Xenopus tropicalis: one gene and its partners. The protein of the gene in region 2 purifies or fractionates together with the protein of the main gene of each other region. This does not show direct contact. Links are inferred from orthologs where the notes say so. Each region holds a gene or a part of one and is shown on either strand. Other genes may lie near its edges. The genes, in order: dtnb, tns2, utrn and dmd.3.

Region 1 (5,793 bases), on a different chromosome or scaffold from region 2:
ATCCCTCCTATCTCCCCTCAGTAATACAGGGATCCCCCCTATCTCCCCTCAGTAATACAGGACCCCCCCCCATCACCCCTCAGTAATACAGGACCCCCCCCATCACCCCTCAGTAATACAGGGAACCCCCTCCATCAGTAATACAGGGATCCCCCCTATCTCCCCTCAGAAATACAAGACAGATGCAGTGATACACAGTGAGCTTTTCTGCCCCTACACCAGGGCTCAGCATATAATACCCCCAGGTACAGTGCCACACACTCAGAGCATTTCTATCCCAGCCTGCTTGTCTTACGCAACCTCTCAGCTGAGTGGATCTCGGCCAAAATATTACAAATTGAGTCTCACCACAGATTTCCTAATTCCTTGTGCAGTTGGAATGTTTCTGCACAAGAACAACTCCTAACTCCTCCTTGGTTAGGCTGGCACCCTAGCCCTGTGACACCCTAGCCCTGAGGCAACATAGCCATCTGGCACCCTAGCCCTGTGGCACCCTAGCCCTGTGGCACCACAGCCCTCTGGCACCACAGCCCTCTGGCAACATAGCCCTGTGGCACCCTAGCCCTAAGGCACCTTAGCCCTCTGGCACCCTAGCCCTGAGGCACCCTAGCCCTGAGGCAACATAGCCCTGTGGGGTTATCTACAATCAGCTTCCCATTTCCCCTACAAACAGAGCTGTGTGCCTCCTTAGCCAAAGCCAGCTCTTGCCTTCCCAGGCTGCCCCAGTGCCTTATCCAGCCCCTAATCCTTACTTGTTAGCCCCCTTCTCTCCACCTTCCCCTTGTGGATGTGGCTTCTCTCCCAACCGGAGTTTCTGTTTAACCCCAGGGCATATAATTTAAGCTTCTTTCCCAATTTGCTCCCGAGACAAAACATAGGTTGGTTTCCAGTACAAGCCACTAACCACAACAACATGGATTTCTCTGTAGGCTGCCAATGCCTTGATTGGAGCTTCCCTCTGACTCCATCCGCCTTAGCAGATCTACAGGGCCTCTCCTGGCCTAAAGGGATAGTGAATTATTACTGCTAATAAGATCACTAGGTACAGTTCGGATGTGGAACAAACCCAGTATAACCAGAATCTCATATCTTTGCTGGTACTGTGGGCTCGGCGCTCGGTATAGAAGGCAACCCCCTGTATGTTTATTGCATGTGACTGGGGGGCTGAAATGTTGCAGCTTACCCAATAAACATGCAGGGGTATTGCCCCACTTGCCCTTGCTCTGTTACTGGGCCGGTATTACTGCAAAGTCTGCTTGCTGGCACTGAATAGGTTCTGTGTATATAGAACATTCCCAGCTGAGTCAGTAGTCGGAACCAGAAGGGAATCACTGCTGACACCCACACATACAGGGAAAGCCGACGGGACCGACCTGTCATAAGCAGCGATCATGAAGTTGAGCAGAAGGCTGATGGACTGGTCGACGCCGATCTGATGGGTGGAAGGGAGGCGCTTATTGAGCTGGTAGTATATGGACGATATGATGGTCTCTAGCCGGGACACGTTTATCTCTGTGTTGTGATCCAGTGTGTTAAGGCCGTTGTCCCGGAAAGCTTCTATCATATTCCAAATGTCAACCAGGTGAACTGAAAGAGAGAGGAGAAGGCAGGGAGTAAGTACAGGGGTGGGACAGAGGGCAGGGGGTAAGTACAGGGGTGGGACAGAGGGTAAGTACAGGGTTGGGACAGAGGGCAGGGGGTAAGTACGGGGGTGGGACAGAGGGCAGGGGGTAAGTACAAAGTTGGGACAGAGGGCAGGGGGTAAGTACGGGGTTGGGACAGAGGGCAGGGGGTAAGTACGGGGGTGGGACAGAGGGCAGGGGGTAAGTACGGGGGTGGGACGGAGGGCAGGTGGTAAGTACAGGGGTGGGACAGAGGGTAAGTACAGGGGGTGGGACAGAGGGTAAGTACAAGGGTAGGACAGGGCAGGGGGTAAGTACAGGGGTAGGACAGAGGGCAGGGGGTAAGTACAGGGGGTAGGACAGAGGGCAGGGGGTAAGTACAGGGGTAAGACAGAGGGCAGGGGATAAGTATGGGGGTGGGACAGAGGGCAGGGGGTAAGTATGGGGGTGGGACAGAGGGTAGGGGGTAAGTACAGGGGTAGGACAGAGGGCAGGGGGTAAGTACAGGGGTAGGACAGAGGGCAGGGGGTAAGTACAGGGGTAGGACAGAGGGCAGGGGGTAAGTACAGGGGTAGGACAGAGGGCAGGGGGTAAGTATGGGGGTGGGACAGAGGGTAGGGGGTAAGTACAGGGGTAGGACAGAGGGCAGGGGGTAAGTATGGGGGTGGGACAGAGGGCAGGGGGTAAGTACAGGGGTAGGACAGAGGGTAAGTACAAAGGTGGGACAGAGCGCAAGGGGTAAGTACAGGGGTGGGTCAGGGGGTAAGTATGGGGGTAGGACAGAGGGGAGCCCCGCCGAGGCGAAACTAACAAATCACTGAATCTTTATATCCCATCGGGGAAATAAAACAGAACAGGACAGTGTAGGAAATGGCACCTATGTATGTTGTGGATAAAGTGTTTCCGAATAACAGATCCTATCACAACGGACAATCTGAGAACAGTAGAAGTAGGAGTAAGAGTGTATAGAGGATAACCTGAGTATATTATGAGTATTTGGAGTATATGAGATTAATACATGGAGTGTATGAAGATAATGTGAGTATATAAAAAGCCTGTGCTTTGTATAGATGTTTATATTGGACTACACATAAGAGCATACAGGGTTATATGTTGTTTATCCTTGGATCAATAAAAGATATGAAAATAGAAGAACTCCGATGAAAGGTGTGTCTGTGCCAGTGGCCCCTAGCCTAACAAGGTGCCCAAGGTGCCACATCCCTGCGGGGGGAGAGCAGCCCACGCTTACTGATTTGACCTTGAGGATAACAAAAACTTTATTTTGGCCTATTTGGGCCACTCCAGTGCTTTATTGGCAAACTGCAGGCATACATTCACTTGGTCCTTTCTTTTGTGCCACCCTGCAGTGTGTGGGGGTATCTGTGCCAGGAACGGCTCAAAACTGCACCCCCACCGGATCTATTTTATCTTCTGGCAGCGAAGGCTCCATAGTAGGGTGTGGGGGGTAAACCTGGAGGAGTTAACCCTTGCCACTCTGAGAAAGTGGAGTCGCAGAAGGGGCATAGCCCCAGAAGGGAAGAAAAAGGCAGAGATTATTGCTTTACTGCTGCCCCTCCTACATTCAGATGCTGAGACTGTTACATCAGATGTTGCTATTGCTGGGGCCCCTGAAGCGGTCCGGGGGCCACCAGCCAACCCTACCCGAGACAGGGTTGGAGAGGTGTTTAAACAAAGGCTGGAATTGTTCCGTGAGGAGCTGACTGTGGCAGAAAAGATGGAGTTGATGAAAATGGTGCAGGAGGAGGTGGCCAGTGAAGGACATGGCTTAGGGGAGCATGGTAGGCTATCCGTGTCCTCAGTGGAGAGTCGGGCACGAGACATTCTGAAGCTTGCCACTGCCTTCCCCACATTTCACGAAGGGCAGGACAGCATTGATGCCTTTCTAGAGACATTTGAAATTATGTGCAGGGCCCATAACATCTCAGAAGAGGACTGGCCCCGAATCCTTTCTGGCAAGCTAACTGGAAGGGCCAGCGCTACATTTCGGGCCTTGTCTGATGAACAAAGACTGGACTATGAGGAGATTAAACAAGCATTGCTGATCCGTTATGCTATCACCCCAGAGTTTTACCGGCAAACATTCCGGTCACTGCTAAAGACCCCCCAGGATACTTACCTTGAGTTTGGTAACAAGTTATCAAGGGCCCTTGACAAGTGGGTTAAAGGGTCTGGGGCTGAAACAATGGAGGACTTAAGGCAATTATGCCTGAAAGAGCAATTTTTGGAGCGGTGCCCCCCAGGAGTCCGAGAGTGGGTTGTAGACCGTGAGCCACAGACAGTAGAAGAAGCTGCCCAGTTGGCAGACAAGTATATGGAAACCAGGATGCCTACAAAGAGAGGGCCCCAAGCACCAGGTACAACAGGTCCCAGGGCAAGAGAGCTGCCAGGCTCTCATCCGCATTCCACTGGCACTAATGCTGCTCCCCACCCACCGCTACCAGGGGCTGGACCTAGAAGCTGCTTTCGATGCGGGGCCCTGGGTCACTTTCAAGCTTCTTGCCCTCTAAACCAGCGATCTCCTTCTGTGTCAGGGGCTCCAAAGGTGACGCCTGCTCGACCTGTCGCCACTGTTCAGAAGGAAAGTGCAGAGTGTGACCTGCCTGAAATCAACCTAAGTGAGACCCCCGAATTTGCAGTAATGCAGATACACTGGGCAGATCAGTCCAAGAGAAAATGCCATGTGATTCCAGTGCAAGTAGATGGAAACCCAGTGGAAGGTTTCCTGGACTCTGGTGCCTTTATAACTCTGGCGGAACCTAGTGTGGTGACGTTAAATCGCATCGTTCTGGGGAAAATGGCCCGAGTGATTCTGGCTGGAGGACAGCGCAGAGAGGTGCCAATTGCACAAGTGACTTTGGACTGGGGAGAAGGGCCCGTGCTGCATGAAGTGGGGGTCATGGATCAACTTCCTGCTGATGTCCTGCTTGGAAATGATGTGGGAGACATTTGCTGCAGCATCACGAGGCGGCAGGCAGAGTCAGGCGAGCCACCGGCAGTTGTCCAGGAGGTAAATGGGCAGACAGATGTGACTGATGACTCATTTGACATAGGTAATTGGCAGGATTTTAGGGCTGAACAAGCAGCAGACCCTAGTCTTCAGCCATTAAGAGACAGAGCTGGGCAAGGGGTGGTAGGTACCGAAGCAGGGGAACAAATAGTGCAGGAGGATGGGTTGTACTATAGAGTCCTCAAAAGCCCTAGAGGAAAACAAAGGGAAGCATGCCGTCAGTTGTTGGTGCCTGCCAAATTTAGGACCCAGTTGCTGCACCTTGCACATGAGGTACCCCTCGCAGGGCACCAAGGGATTTCTCGCACGCGCTATCGCCTGCTACAAAATTTCTATTGGCCAGGGTTGTCACAACAAGTGGCACAGTTCTGCCGATCATGTGACAGCTGTCAGAGGGTTGGGAAAAGTGGGGAGCGGAACAAGCATACATTGCGACCCTTACCAGTGATAGGGGAGCCATTTCAGAGAGTTGCTGTTGATTTGATAGGACCCCTTAGCCGACCCAGCAGGACAGGCAAGCAATATATACTTACAATGGTAGACTATGCCACCCGGTACCCAGAGGCGGTGGCTTTACGGAGAATTGATGCCCCAGCCGTTGCAGATGCACTGATTCAGATTTTTTCACGAGTAGGGTTTCCTAGTGAGATCCTATCCGATCAAGGGCCACAGTTTATGTCCCAATTACTTCAGTGTCTATGGCAGCGCTGTGGGGTCACCTCTCTTCGCTCAAGCCCGTACCACCCTCAAACTAATGGCCTGTGTGAGCGTTTCAATGGGACTCTTAAAAATATGTTACGAACTTTTGTGGAGGCTGGAGAAGGTGACTGGGAGAAGTTTCTGCCCTGTCTTTTGTTTGCATATAGAGAAGTTCCCCAAGAGTCTACTGGGTTCTCTCCTTTTGAGTTGTTGTATGGGAGGCGGGTTCGAGGCCCCCTAGACTTGCTAAGGGAGTACTGGGAGGGGGGAGCCCAATTCCCTGAGTTTCCTGTAGTTCCTTATGTTCTACAATTTCGTAAACGTCTAGAGAAAATGACCGCTCTGGTGAAGGAACATCTGACAGCTGCTCAAACCAAACAAAAAGTTTGGTATGATAGGAATGCCAGGGACCGGCGATTCGGTCCGGGGGACAAGGTGTTACTA
Region 2 (5,793 bases):
CGACACAAGGCAGATTTGCTCTTGGCAGATGCTGATTTGCTTAAATGTTTATGTCTAGAAGCTGACTCCTTTCTTTTTGTAAGGTTATGTCTCTAAGGCCCCAAATATGAATAATAATTGGCTGAACTCTGGTTCCCCATGGCAGGTGGATCTCAGAATTCTATAGAATTTCATATAAACTGGGTTTTTTTTGGATTTTGGTTCCCCTTTGAAATTGTGTGTTTGTTCTGATTCACAACAAGGTCACCCACCTAAGGTTCCATGATTATTTGAGACAGTAAATAAGAATTTTCAATCATATTTCCAATTTTCATCCTAACTGGTCTTCACTGCGGGAAGCTTCATACAGATAAACTGCTCTAGGTGGGTCTTGAGTTTTACTACTCCTCCGACGGACACATTTCTTAAGGAGGTAATATACGGCCAACTAAAGCTGACCAAGAATCACCTAGATTCTCTATCAGTTGGACAGATTGATGTGGTGGTTGGCCAAGTCAGTCCCAGCTGTGCTTTGTTGGCAACTGTTAAAGGAGCAGATCCGGCAGTTGTAGGGCTATGTGTACTGCACGAGGTACATACTGGCATGGCATTAAAATTGCCAAATACAACCTGAAGGCCTTTAATTGCCAGTAAAGTTTTCACCCCTTTAGATCAGATTTGTTTTTTTAGAAACATGAGTGGTTTTGGTTCCCCCTTTACCAATCTAGTCCTTGGTGTTTAAACATCACAGGATATTACATCTGTCTCAATGTAATCTAATTACCCATGTGCTTCTATCTTGTTCAACAAGAATATGTCACTTATCAATGTACAAAATACCAACCCACTGGTGATGAATGGCCTTTGTTGCACTCAGACAGTCCATTGGGATCCACTTTTGCCCCGTCAGCTGGAGAGTGATTTTTTTCTGGCAGTCGTGGTGGCTGAATACTAGGTGGGCATGGACTGCTGGAATAATAGGCAGTTCTAATAGGGAATGAAGGAGTAGGAGAAGGAGGCAGGAGATCACTTTGACTTCCCATTGGGGATTTTGGTGGGCTGGTCGGTGCTTCTTTTCCTTGGGGATTTACAGGGCTGACTGGCAATGATATAGTGACACTTCTCTTCTGGAGTAGAACGGTGTGCTTCGGCACAGAAAAACTCTGAGAACAGTAACCTGACCCAAAAGCAGTTGTACCACTGGGAGATGAGATAGCAGGCCCAAATGTGGTGTGACTCCTTTTAGCCTCTGATGTTACTGGCAGGACAAACTTAGTTACATGTGACTGGGAGGAAGAAGTTGGCAATAATGTATTTGCTTCATTTGCACAGGGGGGAGCATTCACATGAGTTGCTGGTAACCCAGGCCTGTAAGTAAGAAATAACATATTCTCTTGTCAGAAAATTCCAAATATTTGTAAAGGCCACTTAAAGCAACATATTCATTCAGTATTTACTACTGTGCATCTACTCTTCCTTCATTCATTGTTATTTGCATAGACCAGCGTTTTTCAACCGCTGTTCCGCGGCACACTAGTGTTGAGATGTTGCCTGGTGTGCCGTAGGTGAAGACAAGACTCCCCCGGTCCCCTCTGGGACACCTTCCACTTCCTGGCTCCATGATGCCCGGAAATCGTCACTGCCTGTGACGTCATCCGGCATCGGATCCAGGAGGGCGGAGCAACCAGAGAGGAGAGGCAGCACTATCCTGCCCTGGCACAACCCGACCGGGGGGAGCAACTGCCCAGGCCCTGCCCCGACAGACCAGATCCACCAGGGGCCAGGCCCATGCACAGCCGCCCTACTCCCCACCGGAGGACAATCCTGGGACACCCCTGGATGCCGCAGCCTGACATGTAAGAAAACAATTAATAATAATATATATATAAAATTTTTGTGTGTATAAAAAAAAAATAAAAAATCAGTGGGGGGGGTGGGTTTGTGGAGAAAATGTCCCGGAAAATACTTTCTTTGTGTTTATTTGATTCCTATTCAAGAGAATTACTTTATATATAGTCAATATAGGCACAGAGTTAAATTTTTTAATGGTGGTGTGCCTCGTGATTTTTTTCATGAAACAAGTGTGCCTTTGCCCAAAAAAGGTTGAAAAACACTGGCATAGACAAACAGCATTATGGGATACTACATTGAGGAAACTTGAAGCTTAAAGAAACATAAAGCAGGGGAAAGCAGAGCAATAAAAAGTATGAGATTGTGCTTAAGGGCAAGGGCACACTGGCATATTGTCAGCTTGCGGATAAGCGCAGGCTCCCGTACGCTTACAAAAATCTTATTATTGTGCCTGCACCCAGTAGCATTGAATCCACCTGGTTGCAGGTATGTGATATCTGCCAACAACTGCCAAATCTAAAATAATTTTTTAAGCGCACAGATGTATTGTCAGCCTAGACTTATCCACAGGCTGATAATATGCCAGTGTGCCCTTGCCCTAAAGGAAAACTATACCCCCACAATGAACACTTAACCAACAGATAGTTAATATCATATTAAGGAGCCTATTAAAGAACTTTACCAAACTGCAATATATATAACAGTAAATATTGCCCTTTTACATCCTTTCCCTTGAGCCGCCATTTAGTGATGGGCTGTGTGCTCCCTCAGAGATCAGCTGACAGGGAATAATGCCGCTCTGACTGTAACAGGAAGTAGTGTGGGAGCAAAAGGCAGAACTTATACACTGTCTATTAGTTGGCTGATGGGGCCTAGCATGAGCTGTATGCAATATATTTTTATAGAGACCTACACTGTTGCCAGGTATAGTTTTCCTTAATAACAAGGAAGATGAGAAAGCTGCAAAAATATTTTTTCTCTTAAATCAAAATAGGCAGCCCTGCTGTGTACAAATGTGTATTATCTTCTAGCATCTTCACTACCATATTTATAGACTGGTTTTAGTCAGCTTTATCTCATCTGTACTGCCTTTACATGCTTTATTTAGTGCAACTTTAGCTGCAACTGAAAAGGCAAGTAGAGAAAAGTCAAAGTGAGTGGCCCTATTTATGTTTTCCTTTGGAGCCACCAGCAGTCCAACACTGACCAGAGATGGCCGGCACTGGCCCAAAAGAATAACATATAGAAACTAATTTAGCTGCATGAAGTAATGCAGATCATTCATAGCTGAGAGGTGGCAACTGCAAAATGTGAAAGGTAGGAGGGTGTTCCAAGAAACCCTAGTGATATTGGCAAATCAGCTCTGTAATATATATTATAGACATAAGGCTTATTCACAGTAAACAGAAAATGAAGGCAAAAATACAGTTCAGCCAATAAATGTAATTTTATATAATTTAATTCCACACTTACAATAAAAAACCTATTTCATTAAATTAACTTCTCAATATGGTTGGCTATTGCCTGTCTATTGCACTACTGACATTTATAATGGACTTACATAATGGTCATTAAGCATTCTTCTTTCTAGAGAGAACTGTACCACATATATTCTCACCTCTCAGTAACTACAGTGCTGTTTGGATGCGTAGGCACAGGTTTCTGGGTCGGCACCGATGGACTCTGACCACCAACGGTTCTGTACAGCTGCGTGTGCACAGTGCTGTGTAATTGGGCTTGACTTGCTTTAGGCACAGGATGGTGCAATTGTACTGGAGGGATTTGACTCTCTATAGAATTGTCTGTCTGCACCAGCTGACTCTGGGTATGGACCGTACTATATGGCTTTACTGATGAATTGTTTACACTTACAGAACTGTGAGATTGGACCATTTTTTGTTGAGGCCGATCTGTTTCTGTAAGTGCAAATGCTGTGGTCACAGGTGTCTGATCCTCTGAAATGTGGGTGTGATTAGGAGAATGTGGATATGAATTGGTGATCTGCCTGGCTACACAGTTGCCCGTCTGTGGTTCAGAGGGCAGTGCAGTGTTATGTACCTCTTTACTTGTGTTTTGTGTATGGTTGGAGATGTCTGATTGGTCAGGTGAACTCTTTGTGTTGACTGGATTGTTTGTTGGAAATGTCAGGCTGTGTGTGGGCACATTGTCTTGTGCTTGTCCACGTTCATCCAGTGAGTGCAGCTGGCCATGCCCTTGTACAGCCAAACTCATATGTTGGCTACTTCCATTTAACTGCACAGACGGACTGGACAACTGTGCAGTATGGCCTGTTTGGGAAGATGGACTGTGTGTTGGGGATGCAGGGCTTGTTTGACCCAAAGGCTGACTTTGAAAAGCTGCGTTCTGTGTGTTCATGGCTGGGTTGTGCGAGGGAGATGTAGGACAGATTTGCCCCTGACTATGATTTCGAAGCACTGGATTCTGTACATGTACAGACAGGCTTTGTGTGGGGGAAGTAGAACACGTTTGCCCCTGACTGTGGCTTTGAGGAGCTAGATTCTGTATGTGTACAGATGGAGCTGATCTGAGGGCTGTAGAGTCTGTTTGCCCCTGATTATGGCCTGGAAGAGTTGGACTGAGTGTAGGGGATGTAGGACTTGTTTGTATAACACTATGGCCCTGAAGGGTGGGATTCTGCACATTTACAAGGTTATTTGTCTGCACAGAATGGCAGTAAGTATTTATGGGAGTACTTGCATGCACAGGATTTTGTGGATACACAAAATTATCTGCTTGCACTGATCTATGGATGTGCATGTTAATATCTGAAGGATTAGCGGGGCTTCTTGGTATGTGAGCGACCATGGGTGCATTTGGGTGCGGAGGGCTCCCTTGGGTAGTAGAGTTGGCATGTACAATAGCAGAGGAGCTGACAGCCGGTCCTGTCTCGAGGTGCTTATGCAGCTGCAATGTTGGAGCATTTAACTTCATGGCACGTTCACTGGGCTCTGTAGGGGAAAAGGTAACATGCATGTACTTGAATTAGTCAGCTATGAAAGCAAGGAAATGATAGTAACTATTGCCTCTACATTCATCTCTAGGAAAACCCACCGGCAACAACTGAAACAGCATTGATTCGTTCTTGTGTAATCAGAGCAAAATGGGCACAAGTACGTTCTGTGGCCCAGTGTAGACAAATGAGCCAAAGCCGACATCTCACTCAACACTAAGACCCAGAACATTTTGTAAATAACCATGTCAAATCTTAAAATATTGTTTGAAATGAGCAAATATATTCTCACCATACTAACAGCCGCAAACTCACAGTGCACAAACCTTAACTGACTGCACCAAAGTGAAGCTGTAGAAAAGAAGATCTGCTTTAAACTTCCACAGGTGATTCTGAACCAGTATTTTTTTCACCCAAAAGGAGGGGGAAAAAGGATTTTAACCCCAGGAATTGTGGGCTGTAGCATGGAAATGTTATGTGTTTAGCGCTGAGCACAGATCCTACGTACAAACCTCTGAGAGATGTGATGACACCAAAAGAAAGAAAAATCTTTTTAAAATCACATTGTACTGTTTGTATGTACCATAGACCGAATGCGCAGCAGTTTTGTTGTAAGATTGCTTTTTTTAAAAAAAATGTATACATTTTTTTTTAAATGCATTTTTTTATTCCACTAAATAGTGCAGAACAGTGCGGAATGGTTCCATTTACCACCAATGGGCCCCCACGACAGATATCTGCCCAAAAATGATTCAGCTATTGTAGATGGCTAAATTGTGCAATGAACTGCTTGTCATGCAAATTCACCAAATATCATATAATATATAAATGGGGCTGTCACACATGAGGCATAGGCAAACTTGCAGTACTTCGACTTTACATACCCAGCCCCATGAAATCCTCCATGATGCCTTTTTAGTAATGCTTATAGAAAAGATAGGGTTGTTTCAGACTCCTCTATAGAAACATTGGAGTAATATTCCTTAACAGTT
Region 3 (5,793 bases), on a different chromosome or scaffold from region 2:
AGAGGAGTCTCTGAGTAAGGTCCAAAGGAGAGACTTCAAAGACCAGACAGAGCTGAGTGTAAATGTGAGACGGCTTGCAGTAAGTATTTGTGTTATGCATGGAATGTGTTCACCCCTCGGACAGCCAAGGCTGTGGAAAGCAAAGCAGCCAGATTCAAGAATTCATATTTTTTGTAATTAATTGTGGTTATTTTTCTTTCTTGTTATCAAACATTAAATTCTACTGGACTAGAAAAAAAACATGGCATTCTTGGTTTTCTGCATTTCTTCATTAAGAATAATGGGCTCACAGAATAGGCTCAAAAGGAACAGGTGTATCTGTCATAATAATTCTTCCACTGGTTTATTCACTTAAGCACGTGTGGGAGTTCACTCAAATCTGAAATGTTTGAGTTTAATATTATGATAAATGAAGCAAACGCCATTTCTGCAGTGCAGTACAGAATAGAACAAGAAAACCAGAAATAATCTATACACACACTGAAGCATGTTTAGCTGGTCCGGTCTTAAAAGGATTAAACAGGAACCGTGGCCCTTCAGATTCCAGCATAATTAGCATATTGTCAAGAGACGGTAATTGTAATTAATACTACAAAGGGATTTTCTAACCATTTTTAGCATTTCATTTGCTTGATTATACCACTAGAAGGAACAGGTCCACAGGGCTGACATCCTTGATATAAGCTGGCCATACACATACCGATAAAATCGAATGAAACCTAGTTTTGTACAATTTTGGAACTGTATGTGAGCTCCGAATTATCACCCCCATAAATTTCGTACCATGGCGAACGGTCGTTTAGTCGTTCGACCAGGTTAAAAAATTTTGGTCGGATAAGGAAAAAAAAGTGAAACATGCTTAGCAGACAGAAGTGCTTATTTTCTGGTTTGTATTAAGGTTCTAAAGGAAGAAATGGGAATGAAACGCAAGACTTTGGACCATCTCCATAAGATAGCACAGGATTTGGTTCAGCTTGTTGGCAATAGTAAGGCTTCTAGGAATCTCAAGGGTGACATGGAAGATCTTGCCCAGAGATGGGATGGACTGGTGCATCAGCTGGAGGAATACACTAACCAGGTATGCTAAGAGGAGAGAATGGCTGCACCGGGCCCTCTCAGATTTTTCTGCATGGGGGCCCAGTGCAAACAAGTTATGCTTCTGACCAGTTCCAAGTGAAAAATATACAAAAATAAATGTGCCAGGTGACAAACAGTGAAGTAAAGAATAAATAAATAAAATAAAAATTCTCATCCTGGGGCAGAAGGCTGGGGTAAAAAAGGTGCTGCATAATATGCCAGAAGAAAAGTGCCTTATTACAAGAGGTACTCCAATCCTGAGAGTTCAGGCACCCCACAGTTAAAAATCCTGGGGCGCAAAAAAACTCAGGCTCCATAGTAGCCTACCTTTAGGCCAGAGAATCAGGTTCCTCTCACCAATAGGGGGCGTGGCAGCTTCAATTGTTTCATACTTTACACTACAGAACATAGCATGCAATTATTTACTGGGTTTCCCCATACTTTGTTTGCTTCTTTCCTTTCAGGTTTCTGAAGCTGTAACAACATTAGGGGTTACCCAAGTATCGCGCAAGGTTGTTATTGAAACAGTAACGGTTAAAGAACATGAATTTATTCATCTTACCAAGCAAGACCTTCCCCCTCCACCACCACCAAAGAAACGGCAAATGCTCCTGGACTCAGAGGAGAAGAAAAAGTGGGTTTTGAAACAAGTAGATTGCGATAAAATATCAGATTTGTATTAAGCCACACTATTACCAGTCACATCCACATCTCCTCTTCCATGAGGCATTACTTTGCCACCTGAAGTGTGTGCTTGGTCTACCTGTACATGTCAGTACCTAACCTTCTGCTTATTGTAGTATATTTAGAACAGTATATTTGTGGGCATTTCCTAGGACTGACTAATAGTTGAAAATACAATCAATAAATTCTATATACAGAATAGTAGAAATGGCAGATAGGATCCTGTAACCATGAACTGATATTCAGGAGAGGTTTTGCCTCACTCATAGGTATCACACAATGCCTGCGTCTTTTCAGCGTAATATGTTTATTAAGGTATGTAGGATTCTGCTATTGTGGTTTGCTTCCCCTGCAACCTTGACATATTTAGTTTACCATAGAAGAGTAAATGACCTTGGTGATGCAAGGAACACTCTAGTATACAATTTTGTTTCCTAGCATATATTCAGCAGAATATTTCTTAGAATTAAGAATGAATGCCCTTTAATAGCAATACATACTACAGTGTAAGGGGAATACACCTCCCAGCACTATTTGATACAAGAACACTGGTTTAGCTTGCCTCTATTTAGAGAAATGCTAAGTAGGAGAATGTGGGACCTGCAAAACATGGGTTCAGTTGCCTAAGACCCTAGCAACCAGATAACTGCTAAAATACCAAACTGTATGTTTGGCTGAACAAAAAGTAAAATAACAACAAATAAAAACATACAAAAAAAAAATGAAGACCAACTGCAAAATGCATCATGTCTATATCATATTAGAAGTTCATGTAAAGTTGAACTACCACTTTCAGACCTATTTTGCCTTTTTTTACTTCAGATTTGATGTTGAAGCTGCTGAACTGTTGAATTGGATGATAAAATCCAAAGCTGCACTTCAAACTGCAGAGATCAGTGACTATAGAAAGATTAGCGAAACCTTGGACGTAAAAGAAATGCTAAAGGTAATGTGAAACATGGGAAGGAAGTCTTTCTGAATAGGTGTTTTGTCTGTTGTAAACTATGTACCAGCCAGAGGGATGATCTGTAGTCTTGCCGTCAAACTGCATAATCTTTACTCTGCAGCTTTATTGGCTGCCTGCTCTGTCAAACCAAAGATAATGGAGTCATCTGCATTGTGTGTACATAAATAATCAGCAGGGAGACTTTATGAGAGTTTGCTTTTCATTGGGCAATTTTATAGGATATGCATCATTAATTCTGTGTTCTATTTCTTTTTCTGTCCATGTTCACTCTGGAAATCAAAGCTTTGCCCTGTATTTTCACATTCCTGGACAGGAACTTTTATATTTCCATGATCATTTATAAAGAATCAGAATGCATTAATTAAAATCTTCTGGGTGGCAAAACCGTAATTTGCCACTGTAGACCTGAATACTCCAATATATTTCTAACTGCTGGGTTGGGATATCACTGGTCTGTACAGTGTAGTATTCAGATTGAATTTGGCTTTTTTCCCTCTCTGTTAGAACAGTGTAGCAGATTGCTGCCATTTCCTGAACTGATATTGTGTTAATGTAGATTGACATATAGTATAGAGTGATAATAGACCCACTTTCCTATTTTCATTTTATTTGTGGGCTGGGTTGTAGTGTTGCCTTTACTTTACCTATTAAAATCTTGCCTTTTGCATGCGTGCACTGATAGCTGGAGCAGATGCATTGGTGCTCTGGGACCTTCTTGCACCATTAAATTCATAAATAAGGAGAATATTAAAACCATGTTAAGTAATTTGTTAAATAGGCCAATAATGGATAATTGGTGGCATGCAAGATGTTGTTGAATTACTTTTTGCAACCTCTGATTGACAGCTTAACGCTACTGAGATGTGCTGGAAGTTTAGAGAAATCTATAGGGTTGCTCTGGGGAAATGATTCTCGCTCTGTGGCCCTCTATTGTTTTGCTATACTATAAAAGTAGAAGTCCTCATAGACATTTGATTTAGTAAAGATTATTTGTTTGTTTGTGTTCAATTTCAGGCTATGGAGACAGAAAAGATGAACAGAACGCAAATATTTGAAGAACTTTTCCTTAAAGGACAGTACATGTTAGAGCTGTGCAAGGAAGGTACGATCATATAACATTCTATGATCTAAACTGTGATCATGAACTAAACCGTAGCAAATAGAAAGTAATTATATATCCTGCACTAGTCTAATTCAGTCATAATCTGCATAGAAGCAAAAATGTTGTTTTTTCCTTTAGCATTAATTTTTCAAGGGTGTGTTGAGTATGGAACCCTTCCTATGTAATCGTGGGCAAACGTTTGACTTGTAACTTGCCTTGGAGCATCTTTAAGTTTCTCATTGCAAAATAAGCATTTTTTATTCATTGGCTTTCTTTGGCTGCACGGCAAGACAGTTCCAGCTCTGTGTTGAATGTTGTTTCGTTTCTACAGCTGTTCAAATATTATTCGGAAGTTGCTGAATGATGGCTAACCTTTTCCTTATCATTTAATTTCCTGACTTTTCTCCACTGTCGGCACAATTCATCCTGAACTAACACACCTTGTGTGCCATACATTGATGGGTACTCAAATAAAGTGTCCTTCAAGGGTACTTCCATTAAAGCTGGCCTTTTACCAGGCAAAAGGGCGAGTGTATAAGTAAGACGGGGAGGCTCTGAACTTTCTCCCATTTATACCGTTTATAGTTAAATGCAGCCAAGGATTTAGGGAATTGCATAGCATTTTTTATGATTTGTTTAATTTTGTTTTTCCCCGGACATTTAACTTTCTGTGTTCTATTGTATGATGCTGCCTTTTTATTTAAAATATTGCAAACAACACAAACCAACATATCCACAAAACTACTATTTAGGGTAGGATCATACCATAGTCATACCGGTATAAGCAACAATATGATCAAATAGTGTACTGCATGGGGGTCTGCTAGTCCACCTTCCTCTATGCACTTGTAAAGGATTATTAGGTACATATTTTTCAAAGGTGAAAAGAGAGTTCAACCCAAGTTTTGTATCTGTTATTTGATAGCTCTTGTAATTCTTGCTTGTGACACACTGCCCTTTAGTTAGTTATAAAGAAACGTAGTGTGGATACAGAGTCGCACAGCATTATTTATGTCATTATCACAAATAACCCCTTTCTATGTGTGTACTTTGCATTATACTTATACTTTGTCTTATTTCTGGGGGTTGGTGCAGAAGATATACCTGATGAAGGCCTGACAGACTCCTTGGATAGGCTTCAGTCTGAATGGAAAAAGACCTCCCAGCAACTGGATGAGCTGAAGAAGGGGATACATTATCAGGATGATATCAGTGCTCATTTCAGAGAGCTGGAGAGCTTGGGGCAAATGTTAAACCAGGTGGAGAATAGACTGGCTACCTCTGCATCTCAAGAACAGTCACTGGAATTCCAAGTGGAATCCAGCAAGGTCAGTAATGGTAGCTTCCCTTCATCCATATAAGTACTCCTTATATGTTGAACTTAAAGGCACCATGCAGTCCCGTGTTAATTAAAGTTTTGTCTGACCAGGTGTCAGAAGCATGTTTTTATTATCCTTATTAAAATGAACTCAAACCAACGTACCAGTGCAGACTATACCTCCAGGGGGGTATGCCATTATTTAATACTAATGAAAAGGCATTTTATTGAATGGGTATGGTGTGACACAGCTTTTTTTTATCAGGAATTTATAATTTGGCACGTGCTGTTAAGCTTTAACTCTTACGTCTGGCAGTGTTATACAGTTGTTGTTCATATAGTATGGCATAGTCATTTAGCATTGATGACAGCGAATGATTAACAATATTTATAAATTATTATTATACTCTGTCAACCGGTGCTGGGAATGAAAGAAAGGCAGAGGTTTGATATTCTTTTATGAAAGCATTTCCAAATGTATAGTATAAACATTGGCAGATTGTCTGTCTGCTTTTTTTATTTTCTGAAAAAGGAGTGGAAAAGCTGATTTTTTTTAATGCATTTGCCTTGTGACGCACATACCTACAAATGGGTTGCTATAGAACACTGTGATGGAACATGCATGTATAATATCTAACATTTCTT
Region 4 (5,793 bases), about 40 Mb from region 2:
TCTTGCCCAGGTTAAACACTAAAACAGAATTGCTTTTGCATATTCTTAGAAAACTTTTTGCACCATTCTATCCACAGAAGTGCTTCTGTCAGTCTAATGAATGAAAAACACATACATAATTAGACAAACCATTGCTGCCTATAATACAAGCAAATGTACTATGATTGACATTTATATTAAAAAAAAAAAAATCTACACTGAGTCATAGCTCATTTAATGCTTGCATATCCACAGATACTAATATAATTTACTTTACTTATGATAGTGCTATATGGGATTCAAGCCAATAGTATTAAACCACCTTAATAATTAAAATATGTATTATATATGTCCTATATGTTACACAGACCAGATAATGTGAGATCAGGGTGCACAAAACCAGGCCACTAAAAATCTTTAACAAGCCAACTTTTAAGAAGAGGTGACATGGTCAAGTCAATAATACAGCTGTATCCATGGTACTGTACTTTCCATCAAGTCTTGATGATAGAACATTTGGAAAAAAATGACTTAATCCCCAAAATCATCTCTCAGTACTTGCTGTATTCATGATTATAAGTGAAAGAACAATTATTCCTGAGTTTGTATTAAAAAAAAGCCAAGATACAGTATAATGAGTTACACAAGTTAAATATCAAGGGCAAAGTTTTATGCACTACTGACTCACACAACATCTATATGTTGGTCTTTATAATTGAATTAGAAAACAAAACAAAATAAAGAAATTAAAACAGCATGGGATGGATATCTGGATTCCTATTGCTTTTACTTCTCACTAGATATGAATGTTATGAACAAATGAACAAAGCAACAAATAGTAACATGCATTAATATATGATATAATGATTTTGAAACAGTGTTGTACAAGGGTTGGTTATAACATTAGAGGATGTAGTACAGACAGAGGAGGCCACGCTCAAACATTTTTTGAAGACTCAGCAGGGAAAATGGCCACACATTTTTCCTTCTTGTTAGTAGTATTTGGTTAGTTGCAAACAAACACGTTTGCCAATAGCAACTCACAATTTGTGCATAGTGCAGTCTTCGGAATGGAGCAAATTTGCTCTCAATTTCTTTCCAGCGTTTGTTGAGCTGGATCAGAGTTGGCTCCACTGCTTTGCCAGCCCCTTCCTTAGACAAACTTTCAGCTTGCCTGTGCACTGAAATCAGTTCTTCTTTCTTCTTCTCCAGTTCTCCATCAATCTCCTATTGAGTAAAACCAATACAGGGCCCAGAGCAGTTAGCTAACTACTTAAGTAATTTGCATTAGATGTAGTAGCAATACTTTGTCTTCTTCCAACCCCTTGTTTTTAATGTAGCAAGTGAATTTAAAATGCATTACAAAACTTACACTAGTATACAAAGAATGTCCAGTGTAATTAAGATTCTTGGGATCATTGTTTAATTGTAAATTAGATATGAATTTCTATTCATATAGGTATACAAGCTATTACATGCTTTCTATATAAAACTTGTCAGTTACATCTACAGAACAGACAAAGGCCAATGTTTAATTTTATATTGTGACTGAATTGCAAATTAAAGCAACAATGAAGCAAAATAAAGTGATCCAAATTAAGAGTTATGAACTGTTTGAGTGACTACACAGTAACATATGAGCATGTTTTGATGAAAGAAGTGTGCTAATATGAGAGAGGTCATCCACGTACTGTTAGTCATTAGATCATCTGGAACAAAGAAACATTATAACAGAAGTTAAAACATTTGAACATGATTCAAATGCAAATACATTGCCACCTTTCTTTTATTCATTTAAATACTGAAAAGGATTTATTAAAAAAAGATTGTTTCATCATTTGCACCAGCACATAATGTATGCAATATAACATTATTGTTATAACTGTTATGCAAATAAATTATGCCACCTTTAGGCTGGTCTTAAAATTATATATCCCATAGTAAAAAATCTGCAGTGTAATAAACTTTTCATTCTTATTGTTACATATTTTCATTCCATTAATGCTGTTTAGTACATATTGCCATACATATTTTGGTGTCCAACTAAGCTCCACCAGATTGTATAACAATTGACTGTTAACAATTTTTTTAGCTCCTGTAGTAATAATGTTATATGTCAAATAAATGATGTGGGGAGTGTTGTGAACTGCTAATAAATTTGTTGTCCCCTTCTCAATAAGTGCTTCCAGACAGTGTGACTTTGCTGTGCCAGTAAATTGTATTTTGTGACTTTGTAAATTAATTATATGTATGACTTGAAAGCTTGAAAGAAGTAATTCAATAATACTATTAAGTAATGTCAAATTAATCAGCATATACAAAGACAGATAATGATGGTCAGCTAACCAAAATGCCCATATCTGGGTCCACAGTGAATACATTAGTTGGTATATCTATTTGATTACAAGGGCCTGTTGATATACTCAATAGATGCCCTAGACTACATAACTCTTAATATAATACTGTTATTTCATGTACTGCTAAAAGGTCTGGCATATTAATGGACAAGCTAGCTTTTGTTTGGCTCATTGCGATGAAGAATTAGTATTTCAAATTTTAAATAATCCTTATGCCACTCTGTGGCATTTGAGTTTCCTAACTTAATGCAGGAAAACTTTAGTGTAGCAATAGGTTCTGTGGCACCTTATGAATTCATATGAAACTAAATGACCAAGAACACTCACACAAGATTTCTATGGTGCTGGCATAAAAATACCTTAATGCCTTCAACATAGATTTCATATTTTCTGTCAACTCTTAGAGCTATGCTGCATGTTTGTTTACATGGCAATACACAACATAGCTCAAAATGCCAACTGTCAGCATGAAAAGGTTTAGCAAAGCTTGTGAATTTTCCCTGCATGCTTTTGCCTATTTTAATTGCTCTTTCTTTGACTGTTGACAGTTTAAATGGCCCTTTAAATATAATGGACTGCTACAGCCTGTTCAAAAATATTTTTTTTATAGAATATAAAATATTTAGATAAAACAATGCTCTGAGCAGACTTAGTGAGAATACCTTAAGTTTCTGGTTATCTTTGGGATCTGGAAGACTTGCAATTTTTCTTTCAATGTCATCCAAGCACTTTAGTAAATCATCAGCCTGCCTCTTATACTGATACCATTGATGGGAGATCTCCAATGCCTTTTTTCTTCTTTGAGTTCTCAAAATCTGTGTATAGAATACTTAAAGTGAATTATATATACACACCTAGAATATAATAGAATCTGGAATAATTTCCATTTCCAACTCCATTACACATTGCTAGCTTCATTTTCTCAGAATCAATGTATTACTAGTATATATATTATGGTTGATCAGCCAATTCTTGTATACTGTTGTTCCTAATGCATTATCTTCATTGTAATATTTATGTTTAGCCCCCATATAGCCACAAGAGCCCCAAAATTATTTCTAAGAAGTGCAAAAACATTTTGGTAAGCAAACCACTTTCACCTTGGTCAAGAAAAATGAAATCATTCAAATAAAGTTTCATATTAATTATTTATTAATCAACAGGACATCTTAACTTAAAAAATATTCAGAACAGACAAAATCTAAAAACTACACTGTCATATTAAATTATTATATGTGTTCTTCTTTTGCAAGAATATTTTTGTTTCTTATCTACTGGAAAATGAAAATGTACTGTAAAGATGTAAGTTTATTACTTATTACTCCCAGAGACATCAAGTTGCAATCAGTTTCAGAAATAAATTTACATTTTGAATACAGGTATAGGACCCATTATCCAGAATGCTCGGGACCAAGGGTATTCCGGATAAGGGGTCTTTCCGTAATTTGGATCTCCATACCTTAAGTCTACTAAAAAATCAGTAAAACATTAATTAAACCCAATAGGATTGTTTTGCATCCAATAAGGATTATTTATATCTTAGTTGGGATCAATTACAAGGTACTGATTTTTTTCTACATAGAAAAAGGAAATCAGTTTTAAAATTCTGAATTATTTGATTAAAATGGAGTCTATGGGAGACGGGCTTTCCGTAATTCGGAGCTTTCTGGATAATGGGTTTCCGGATAAGGGGTCCGATACCTGTATTATATTTCTTCTCAGCATGAGGTACCAGCATCTGCCCAAAATGTACATTAATCTTGCTAATATGCATTTTATATTATACTGATCAGTGGCTATATGAACCTACTTTTGCTGCACTTCAAAATTTTTAAAAGGTAAGATGTTCTACCTATGAACAAAGTGTAAAAACTCTTTGTGACGCCCCTGCTGTATGTGACGTGCTGCTGTATTTATACTTAAAATATGTATAGAATTGTTTCAACTTTTATTCTAAAACAGAATTAAGCATTTTATACAGCATTGCAAATTTACTGGGTTATTTTGCCAGATAATGCAACTATACAGATGTAAGTAGAAGCAAAGAAAAAAACTTAAAAAAATACAATGAAAACTCAAAAATTCTAAGTCTAATGGACTTATTTATCAGTTTTCGAGTTTGTGAATTCAAGTGTGTTTTTCTAACTGTATTAAACTCACATTTAAAAAAAAACTTGAATGCTTGCTTATTTATTAACATGGAAAACTCGAATAAAAAAAAACTTGAATACTTTCCAAACTTAATTGACTTTTAGATAAACTTGCAAGCTTTTAGATGCTGATGTTTTACACAGAGTTTTAATTTATTTTGCACTTAATAAATATCAGACATTAGAGTTTTTGAACCATTTTTCAAATTTTGTGAGTTTTAGCACTAAAAACCTTTAATCGTGAAAAAAAATCAAACTCAGTTATTGATAAATTACCCCCATAAATTTGTATTACTGTCTAATTGCTATTTTTCCATTTGCTCATGATATCCAAACCATATATATTATATATATATATATATAAATAAAATATTTAAACATTATTAAGACATACTGTATCCTTAACAGTAAAAGCACAAAATCATATAAAAATTTTATATTTTACTATAATATCAACCTTCTATGTATATATCATACTGGTTACCTTTAGAGTATTGTGTTTTGATTGTAAAAGCTGTTGCTTTAGTTTTATTTCTTCACATTTTTTCTCATCGGTAATTTTTTGTTGAAGATTATTTCCCCTTAGCAGCAATTCCTTCACAGGCTCTTCATTATCTTCACTCTGATCACAAAAAAGGAAGAAAATACACTTGAAAACTATGATAAAATACAATAAAGTAGAGCATGATGTTAAAAGGGGGAGACGTTCATGCTCTTGCATCTTCTGCTAGATATGCATTAGTGCAAATCAATGTTTTCTATTACATTACAGTAATGATGTAGTAATTGGCAGCAACTTGGAGGAAGGGAATACCAAGGAATTTTAGTGTTGGTTAATGAACAAAAAATGTGAGTTGCTATTACTTTTGTTGAGCACGGTTACCATTTACTTCTCTCTTGGAAACCTCTGTTACGAATAAAACAGAATGATTTTTGTGTAAAGTTACCCTGGATGTTGCTGTCTTTATACTTGAGAAGTTATTACTAAGGCTAACATTTGAGTGAATTTCCACAGCAGCAATTTAATTCTTTATACCACCATTTCTGGCTCTTCACAAATTGCTCCTTTATGCATAGAGACCATTTCACAAACATTGACAACGCCTATGACTAGTGATGAGCGATTTTTTTTTTTTGCCAGGCATGGATTCACAGAGAAATTCTGCTTTTATCGGTGAAAATTGCAGCAAAAACTTGCCATGAAAAAATTTGCCACAACAGAAGACAGAAGTCGCCGAGGCAAAAAAGTCCCCAAGACAAAAATGTCACTGATACAAAAAATACAGATTAATTTAATGCATTTGGAG

What was found.
Region 1: the proteins of tns2 (region 2) and dtnb purify together in Homo sapiens (affinity purification with mass spectrometry; 3 studies listed by BioGRID and IntAct, with this or other methods). This does not show direct contact. The link is inferred for Xenopus tropicalis from reciprocal best matches to the Homo sapiens genes TNS2 and DTNB.
Region 3: the proteins of tns2 (region 2) and utrn purify together in Homo sapiens (affinity purification with mass spectrometry; 4 studies listed by BioGRID and IntAct, with this or other methods). This does not show direct contact. The link is inferred for Xenopus tropicalis from reciprocal best matches to the Homo sapiens genes TNS2 and UTRN.
Region 4: the proteins of tns2 (region 2) and dmd.3 purify together in Homo sapiens (affinity purification with mass spectrometry; 3 studies listed by BioGRID and IntAct, with this or other methods). This does not show direct contact. The link is inferred for Xenopus tropicalis from reciprocal best matches to the Homo sapiens genes TNS2 and DMD.

The regions. Positions count from the first base shown.
Region 1 is NC_030681.2:161,052,271-161,058,063, reverse strand, and holds part of dtnb (dystrobrevin beta), read right to left. Parts: intron 1,588-5,793; coding exon 1,374-1,587; intron 1-1,373.
Region 2 is NC_030678.2:147,555,776-147,561,568, forward strand, and holds part of tns2 (tensin-2), read right to left. Parts: intron 4,800-5,793; coding exon 3,449-4,799; intron 1,348-3,448; coding exon 824-1,347; intron 1-823. UniProt on the Homo sapiens protein: Tyrosine-protein phosphatase which regulates cell motility, proliferation and muscle-response to insulin. Phosphatase activity is mediated by binding to phosphatidylinositol-3,4,5-triphosphate (PtdIns(3,4,5)P3) via the SH2 domain.
Region 3 is NC_030681.2:45,459,589-45,465,381, forward strand, and holds part of utrn (utrophin), read left to right. Parts: coding exon 1-79; intron 80-898; coding exon 899-1,078; intron 1,079-1,541; coding exon 1,542-1,711; intron 1,712-2,583; coding exon 2,584-2,707; intron 2,708-3,742; coding exon 3,743-3,830; intron 3,831-4,925; coding exon 4,926-5,158; intron 5,159-5,793.
Region 4 is NC_030678.2:107,804,420-107,810,212, reverse strand, and holds part of dmd.3 (dystrophin), read right to left. Parts: intron 5,109-5,793; coding exon 4,971-5,108; intron 3,152-4,970; coding exon 2,999-3,151; intron 1,207-2,998; coding exon 1,024-1,206; intron 1-1,023. UniProt on the Homo sapiens protein: Anchors the extracellular matrix to the cytoskeleton via F-actin. Ligand for dystroglycan.